Linked DNA regions of Coturnix japonica. The protein of the gene in region 2 interacts with the protein of the main gene of each other region in a pairwise test. Links are inferred from orthologs where the notes say so. Each region holds a gene or a part of one and is shown on either strand. Other genes may lie near its edges.

Region 1 (4,043 bases), on a different chromosome or scaffold from region 2:
TCTTCCCCTGTAAGTACTGCCTCCTCCGAATCTGCGCTGCTATTTCCTTAATGTAATTGACTCGATCTAATATGCAGAATTAAATATTAAAGAGGAAGAAAGCTGTTAATAATTGATACTGTTAATCCTGCTACCCATCTTTTAATGGCAACGGAGGGCTCTGCTTCATAACGCATTTTTATTTGGTCGGGTTTTATTTTCTTTTATTTTTTCGGTCGCATCTCGGATCGTTAAAATCGGAGGCATTTGAAACGCGGGTATTTTATTTACTGACTGTATACACCCTCCTGAATGGGCGAGCAAATGAGGGGAGGCTCTGGCACATGGTTTCCTGCAAACCTAGCAAATAAATTCACAGATCCCGGTGCCATAACCGGCCTAGAGATTCATTATTGTGAAATACTTTCAAAAAATTGAAAGAGTCAGGGAAATGGGTGGGAGTGCTCGCTGCAAAACAGCTCCGTCTCCCAGCCCTGGCAGCCTCTCCACATTAGCCCAAATTAAACTATTATTTAAAACAAAATATGCGTCGTAACCACACGCCATAGAGAAACCACACTGCATCCTCTTAGCTCTGGTCCCTGCGCTTACTTAGGACTTAATAACATTTTCTTGGACGAGGCTTTTCTATATTGAATTTCAGGGACATTGAGCACAGAACCTGGATATTTCATTCTCTCCGACCATTCACCTCCCGCTTGCAGTTTGTTCTGGATCTCTGCCCAGCACAATAGAACAGGACTTTCTTTTTGTGTGTGTGTGAGTGTGTGTGTGAGTGAGTGTGCACGGTGCAAGCCAAACGATAGGGGAAAAAAAGAATGCCCCCGCACCATCGTGCACACGGAGGGGGGAATACACCGCGTTTTCAGTACTGTTGCTCCTACACTTGGGTGAGGGGTTGAGGAGGGGGAAGGGGGGGTTGAGATGGGGTGGAAAAACCAAAATGAAGTTAATTCACGGAATGACTGTGCCAGGGTGTCCTGCACACGCTCCGCACGCTGTACCTTTAGCGGGGGCTTTCTCTGCCCTCTCCAACCCAACACTCCGCAACAACTTCGCCTTTCATTGCTCAAACATTCGCCGCGATATTGGAGCCAAATTTCTCCCTCTCAGCCCTTTCACCTCCCAGATGGACCCCGGGTACCAACCGAACCGGTGCGGGGTGAAGACCCCCCATTCTTACACACTCAAACTCTCTTGCGTCATTTTAATAACAACAACAACGCGTATTACAAGCAGCACTAACCATAATCTTATTAAACACATCAAAACGATTCTTCATTCTGCGTTTTAGGGCTAATAAAAGAGAAACCAGGTCACTAAAAAGGCACAGGCTGAAGTTTAGCTGTTCTCCAATCTGGCTACGTTACAAATAAAGAGCTAATTAAGCTGGAAGCACTCCCCCCTCTCTCTCTTTTTAACTCAACTCGGAGGGAGTTTGGAAATAGTGATATTTCGGCTTTGGAACAGTCAGACCCTGAAGTGAGGCACGAATATACGAGTAATTGGAAACAGAAAGAAGCGGAGGCGTGCAAAAAAAAAAAGAATAAAATAAAATAATAATAAAAGAAGAATAAAAACAAAAGAAAAGGGAAAAAGGAAACCAAGCAAAACGCTCACGACAAATACACCCACGGCAGCAAAAAAACAACAAACCCCGAGGTGAAGGGGAGCCCCGAGCCTTCAATCTGCCGGCGCAGCGCAGCTCAGCGGGCACGGAAAAGCCCCCGCCGCTGTTTACTTCCCCCCCACGTGAACTTTTCCTCCTCGATTTTCCCTTTCCCTTCTCTCCCCCGACCTCCGCTCTCCTCTCCCGGCCCTTCTCCCCGCGTTTCCCCGCACTCTCCCCCCCCTCCAGTCCCTCGGTTCTCTCCACCCGCAGCCCCGCACTCCCTCACTCCCTCTTACAGCAATGATCTCCGCTGCCGGAGTCAGCGTTCTGTAGGAAGGAGGACGGCTCGATCCAGCTTTTGTCCTCTCTGGACTCTGTTTTGGTCGGAGACGACTCTCGTTTTAATATTTATTTGTATTTCCCCCCAGAAACAATGCCACCCCTCTCCCCTCCCCACCTCTCCCCTTAGGTTGGCATCAGCCATCTGAGAGTTTTCTTTAAGCCCTGATTTTAAACTTTACGCAGCATTGTCCCCTTTTATTGCACCTCCTCCAGCTTTTATACTGTTTACTTCCTCACTTTTATAACTTACTTTGATCTGTTCTGTCTTTGTCTTCGCTTCCTTCACAAACTTTATTGTCCTCGAAGCTGGGCCTTTGATTGGAAACGATCCCTTCCCTTGCAGCAGAAGTTTCTAAATTGTACTCCTGTGTTCCCTGTTTATGGACATCCCCGGGACGGCCCAGCAGCGGCTCAGCCTTAACAGATCCCTGCCCGGGGAGGGTCTCTGCTCTGGGCACTGGATCCAGCCAGCTCCGTAGATACCTGCTATCAGATGGGACGCTTTGATGTTGAATATATGGATGGTAGACGGCAGGAAGGGTACCAGAAGAATGTGGATTCAAAGGAGTCCAGGAGGCGCTGAAAACAGGAGGTTTTGGCTGAAAACTACAAGAGGGGAATTCTAGATGTTCATTGTGCCCAGCTTGCCTGGAACTCGTATATTGCCCAGATGAAAATTTAGCTGAAGGCGAGTCTTCACTTTCATGACTTATAATAGAGTCGACATAGTAATTGCTAAGAGTCCCAGAAATGGACATTCTCAGACATCATACAAAGCACGGTTCAATGAAGGGAAAAAAAAAATATATAGGACAGATCTAGATTTGTACTCTACCCCCTTCTCGAACTTCCTAGCCAACAAAGTACAGTTGGGCTGCTGTGTTGTGAGCTCCCAGCAAAATGATTGGTCAAACTTTTTTCGTGTGCCTGATAAAGCGTCAGTCTCGGCGTAAATCAATCGAAGCCGAGGGGGCTGCGCTGCGCTGTCATCCGCCCTTGCATTCCATATCAAGGATGGATTGTTTTATGTTTATGCAATGTTGCAAAACGTCAGGAGTTTAGAAAAGCCACGAAACGGGCAGAGCTGGGGCTGATATCTCCCTACGTAGATTTTGCTGTTGTTATGGAGGGGGGGGGGGTCCGGGAGGGGGTCCGGGTTTCTTTTCTTTTCCTTGTTTTTTAATGAAAGATGCTGATGTATTCACTTCGCCTTTAATAACCACCATGGGGGAATGGGAGATAAAAGCTATTCTTTGCCACTCGGGCTCCAGAGTACGATAGCAAAAAACAAAAACCAAAAGGCAGAAAATACATAGAAATCAACCCCCCCTACCCCCCCATCCCCCCCTCCCTCCGACCCGCACCCCAGTGGTTTCGTATACACACATACTCGTGTGTGCATTACACGACATGCACACGATGCGCATACAGATGCGTTTTGGGAAGGAAAAGCGAGAGTCGTGGGAGGGTGTTGTAAATAACAAACCCTCTGGCATCGGAAAATGGATGCTAACGTGGTACGATCATGGGGGCAAATATGAAATTTCAAATGTGAGTGGCATATGCGTGACATTACGGCTCGGAGCAGCGAGCTGCAGACACGATCCCCCCCCTTCCTCCCTGCTCCCCCTCCCCATGCCCTCGGCTGAGTGCTTCTATCCGTATCGCATCCAAAAACCGCTCCGTGTATGAATTCATCTTCACGTGTTTTGCGGCATAATGTCGGGGTTGCTTTGCTGGAGCCGAACCAGCGTGATTCACCACGTCGCTGGAATCAGAAACCTTCATTGAACTTTACAAGCCCGGTGAAATACCGAGCGCCACTGACTCTGCTTTGTTGCGGAGTGCCTCCGACTTGCGACGGTTAAAGAGTTTAATAAAACTTACATTAGCTTTCTTGGATTTTTATAGTCCTGAATTTATTGCCTGTGGAAAAAGAAAGGGGGGGAAAAAAAAGGGATCCCTCGCCTTTCCAGTCACGGTGTTCCCCCCCCCGCACACCTCGCTTATAGCACCGCTTGTATGTGTGCGTGCCGCCTCCCCTCCACCCCCCCGCCGCCCTCTCCCCGACGGCGTTATCGGCGATCCG
Region 2 (4,058 bases):
CAAACTCTTTTTGGTAGTGAGCAGCAATAGAACAAGGGGCAATGCAGCTGGAACTCAAAGAGTTCTGTACTAACATGAGGAAGATCACAGAATCACAGAATTGTAGGGGTTGGAAGGGACCTCTAGAGATCATCGAGTCCAACCCCCCTGCCAAAGCAGGCTCCCTACACCACGTCACACAGGTAGGCATCCAGGCGGGTCTTGAATATCTCCAGAGAAGGAGACTCCACCACCTCCCTGGGCAGCCTGTTCCAGTGCTCCGTCACCCTCACTGTAAAGAAGTTCACTTCGTCACTGTGAGGATGATAGAGCCCTGGGACTGGCTGCTCAGAGAGCCTGTGGAGTTTGTTCTCTGGAGAGATTCAAGGCCCCTGTGGATGCCTTCCTGTGCAACCTGCTATAGGGTTGGACTCCATGATCTCCAGAGTTCCCTTCCAACCCCTACAGTTCTGTGATTATGTGATTTTGTGACTGCCACTTCCTGGTTTTTATATGCATCTGTTCTCTGGACAGCTCCATATTTGTTCTAATGGAGGCTAAACTGGATTTAGGGTGAATTTAAGATGTTAGAGCCTTCCAGGGCTCTAAGCATGTGCCAGATGGTTTTCTTGACCAAACCTGGACACCAGAATACACTTCTCCATCCAATCCTTGGGCAGTATCATGTTCCATACTGGTCCCTGTGTCTAAATGAAGGTGAAACTTCAGCATAGGAAGTTCCACATGAATGTGAGAAATAATTTGTTTACAGTGAGGGTGACGGAGCACTGGAACAGGCTGCCCATGGAGGTGGTGGAGTCTCCTTTTCTGGAGATATTCAAGACCCGCCTGGACGCCTACCTGTGTGACGTGGTGTAGGGAGCCTGCTCTGGCAGGGGGGTTGGACTCAATGATCTCTAGAGGTCCCTTCCAACCCCTACAATTCTGTGAACTTCTTAAGCCATGGTGTGCACTGGAAAACGGTGTGAGTGGCACAGCCGCCCCGAGCCTCACATACAGCAGGGGGGGCCTGTCCTGCTGCGCCTCCCGCCTCCGCCAGAGGGCGCCATGGCGGCCGGCAGTCACGAGACACCGGCGGCAGCTGTTGCTGGCAGGGCGAGGCAAGATTCCGGGGAGGGGCGCTACCATTGGCTGGGGGCGAGAGCTGCGGGCACTCCCATTGGCTGTCGTGCGGGGAGAGGCGGAGCGCGGTCATCTATAAATGGAGGCGGAGGATGCGCAGCCGGCGCAGTTGGCGTTGGATCGGGGTTGTTGTCGGGTGGGAGCCGTCTGCTTGCCGAGCGCCGCCGGGACATGCTCGCAGCCTGACTGACCGCAGGTGGCCGCCGCGCCCGGGACACGAATGAAGAAACAGCTGCTCCTCCTGTTCACACACCGGGGACTCGTCAGCCGAGGGGGCCGCAGGGGGAAACGCCGTCGAAAATGGCTTCGTTCAGTATCCGCGCCGCGCGTCCCGAGGACTGCTCAGACCTGCTGCGACTGATCAAGGTGCGGGACGCCAACGTTAGGCCAAGAGGGATGGGGTGGGGGGGGGTGGGATGGGATGGGGGGGGGGGAGAGAAGGAAAGGCGGCCGAACCCGGGGAAGGCGCAAACAGGGCGTTGCGCAAGGCCGAGGGGGGGAGGGAAGGAGGGAGGAGGGGTGATGGGCCCGGGGGAGGCGGCTGACGTGTTGTGCCGTTCCAGGAACTAGCCAAGTACGAGGACATGGAGGATCAAGTGGTGCTAACCGAGAAAGGTAGGCTTGCAGCGACTGCCCGCCCTGCTGCGGCTCGGTGCCGCCGCCCGCATCTGAAGGGTCCCGTTTGTTTTGCTCTCGTAGAGCTGCTGGAGGATGGATTCGGTGAGCACCCGTTCTACCACTGCCTCGTTGCGGAGGTGCCCAAAGAGCAGTGGTCGGCTGAAGGTGAGATATTGCGCCGCTCGTTTGTTCTTTTTACATAAGAGATGCCTTGTGCTTATTGTGACCTACCTGACTTGAGGTTCCAGCGAGGAGTCGGGGCAGGAGGAACAGGCTAAGCTTAAAAATGGCGATAACGTAGAGCCGTGCTGTTGTGAAGTAGTTGCTAACCTCGGAGATGCTGGATGATCAGGTGTAACAATGTACTTAATGCCAAGTAATTAAATGGCTTTTCTTGTTTGACCCTAACTTAACCTTATGTAATCCTGTTGAATCACATGTTTTCTTTAATTTGTCCCCAATCTTCAGGTTACAGTCTCTAGCTTCGCCATGTACATGGCCCTTCTGTGTACATGGATGGGCGGGGAGGTAACTAAAAGATCCGTTACACAATAAAGTAGATGATCATAATATGAGGTAAGGTCTACAGGGACAAGTGCTATTCCCAAACCTTTACCAAAGACACAGTAGATCAGAAGTTATTGCACGCTTCCTTTAGAGTATGTGCAGAGTATGATGGTAGACATTGCGATTTTCAAGGCTTAGATTTGAATATGTTATTGCAGGAAGAGCTGGTTTCTCTTCCCTGTTGAGTGGTGCAGCTGTACTTGAAGCTGCAGTTCTATGTAGCTTGATTTGTTGGTGCTGAATTCAAAACAGCACAATACAATCAGTGTGCACATATGTCAGCGTATCAGAAATGTATCAGAATGTACCAGTTGTCTTTGAGCATGTCTTCTCTCTACTGAGCAATACATTGGAAGATGAACCTTCTGTAGAGCTTTGTAGCTTGTCGGGGTTGCCAAGCAAGGCAGTGTTGGGGCGGTTACCTAGGCCTTGGACTGCTCTGTATTGCTTTGTATTCCAGAAGGGAAGTGCTGATAAATCAGTAGGGTATGTATTAGTAGAAATAAAGCCTTTTTGTTCACTGCTTATTATAACATTGCTCTTGAGCGTTTCAGGGTGTGAAGAGGGCAGTCTTCCGTTAGGTTGATGCCAGTTTATACTGACGTTTCCAGTTGTGCTTCATTCTTATTCTAACCTTATAGCAAACGGCTGCATGTCACTATCTGTATATTTAAATATGCATGTAAGACTTAATGCAAATCGGTAGCTTCAGACCAGCTAAAGCTGCGTGCTTTGTTTCAGGGCACAGCATCGTGGGCTTTGCTATGTATTACTTCACTTACGATCCATGGATTGGGAAGCTGTTGTATCTTGAAGATTTCTATGTGATGGCTGAATACAGAGGTAAGTACTATGGAATCAGACAAGCTGCTTCCTACAGAGCTACTTTAAAATTGAAATTGTCTTGCTGTTTTTTCCTTAAACTGTATATTTTTGTTGCTTTTTCCCTCAGGACTTGGCATTGGATCAGAAATCCTGAAGAATCTGAGTCAGGTATGTCTGAGTGTTAAGTCTAAATGAACAGCACTGGGGATGCATGATGGAGCAGTAGTCTTGATTTTCTGTTAGCTGCAATCAAGTTTCTCCTTGAGCACTACACAGGATTAGCATTGATGAGTTACTAAAAGAGAAATGACAGAGCTCCAGGCAGCCTTAACCACTGCCTAGAGGCTGAACTGAGAGATAAAGTGAACATCATGACTCGGAGCAATCTGCAGCTGGTGCTGCTTAGCATCAGACCCGCTGACCTGTGTTTGCGTTCCTGCAGGTTGCTGTCAAGTGCCGCTGCAGCAGCATGCACTTCCTAGTGGCAGAGTGGAACGAGCCCTCCATCAGGTTCTACAAGAGAAGGGGCGCCTCCGATCTGTCCACTGAAGAGGGCTGGAGGCTCTTCAAAATCGACAAGGAGTATCTGTTGAAGATGGCAACGGAAGAGTAGTGAGAGAAGATTCCAGCAACTAAACTCTTGCAATGAATATACGCGCTCTCTGAATAAACCCCTTCTTGCTTTCTGTGTTGGTAGTGGAATAAAATAGAGTGGATGGTAGTACTGTGCAACCATGGTCATAGAGTAATTGGTACCGTCAGCTGGAGCGGAGGCATCTCAAGTTGAATACGTGCTTGTATCCATCCTTTTACCAGTGTGAACTTGTAATCTTTGTATATGGAAACTTCATTCTTGTAAGTGGCATTCAAATGTGTACAATGTACACACTGGTAGGGTTTGTTTTATTTCCTTTTATAAAATAAAT

Evidence for each region. The genes of interacting proteins can lie anywhere in the genome.
Region 1: the proteins of SAT1 (region 2) and HOXB9 interact in binary tests that used the Homo sapiens proteins (3 or more experiments, as listed by UniProt). The two-hybrid records come from large-scale screens. The link is inferred for Coturnix japonica from reciprocal best matches to the Homo sapiens genes SAT1 and HOXB9.

Annotation. Positions count from the first base shown.
Region 1 is NC_029542.1:3,139,323-3,143,365, reverse strand, and holds the start of HOXB9 (homeobox protein Hox-B9), read right to left. Parts: upstream 2,866-4,043; 5' UTR 2,713-2,865; coding exon 2,205-2,712; intron 1-2,204. UniProt on the Homo sapiens protein: Sequence-specific transcription factor which is part of a developmental regulatory system that provides cells with specific positional identities on the anterior-posterior axis.
Region 2 is NC_029516.1:107,414,917-107,418,974, forward strand, and holds the start of SAT1 (diamine acetyltransferase 1), read left to right. Parts: upstream 1-1,208; 5' UTR 1,209-1,422; coding exon 1,423-1,488; intron 1,489-1,685; coding exon 1,686-1,905; intron 1,906-3,048; coding exon 3,049-3,150; intron 3,151-3,259; coding exon 3,260-3,300; intron 3,301-3,574; coding exon 3,575-3,745; 3' UTR 3,746-4,058. UniProt on the Homo sapiens protein: Enzyme which catalyzes the acetylation of polyamines. Substrate specificity: norspermidine = spermidine >> spermine > N(1)-acetylspermine. This highly regulated enzyme allows a fine attenuation of the intracellular concentration of polyamines.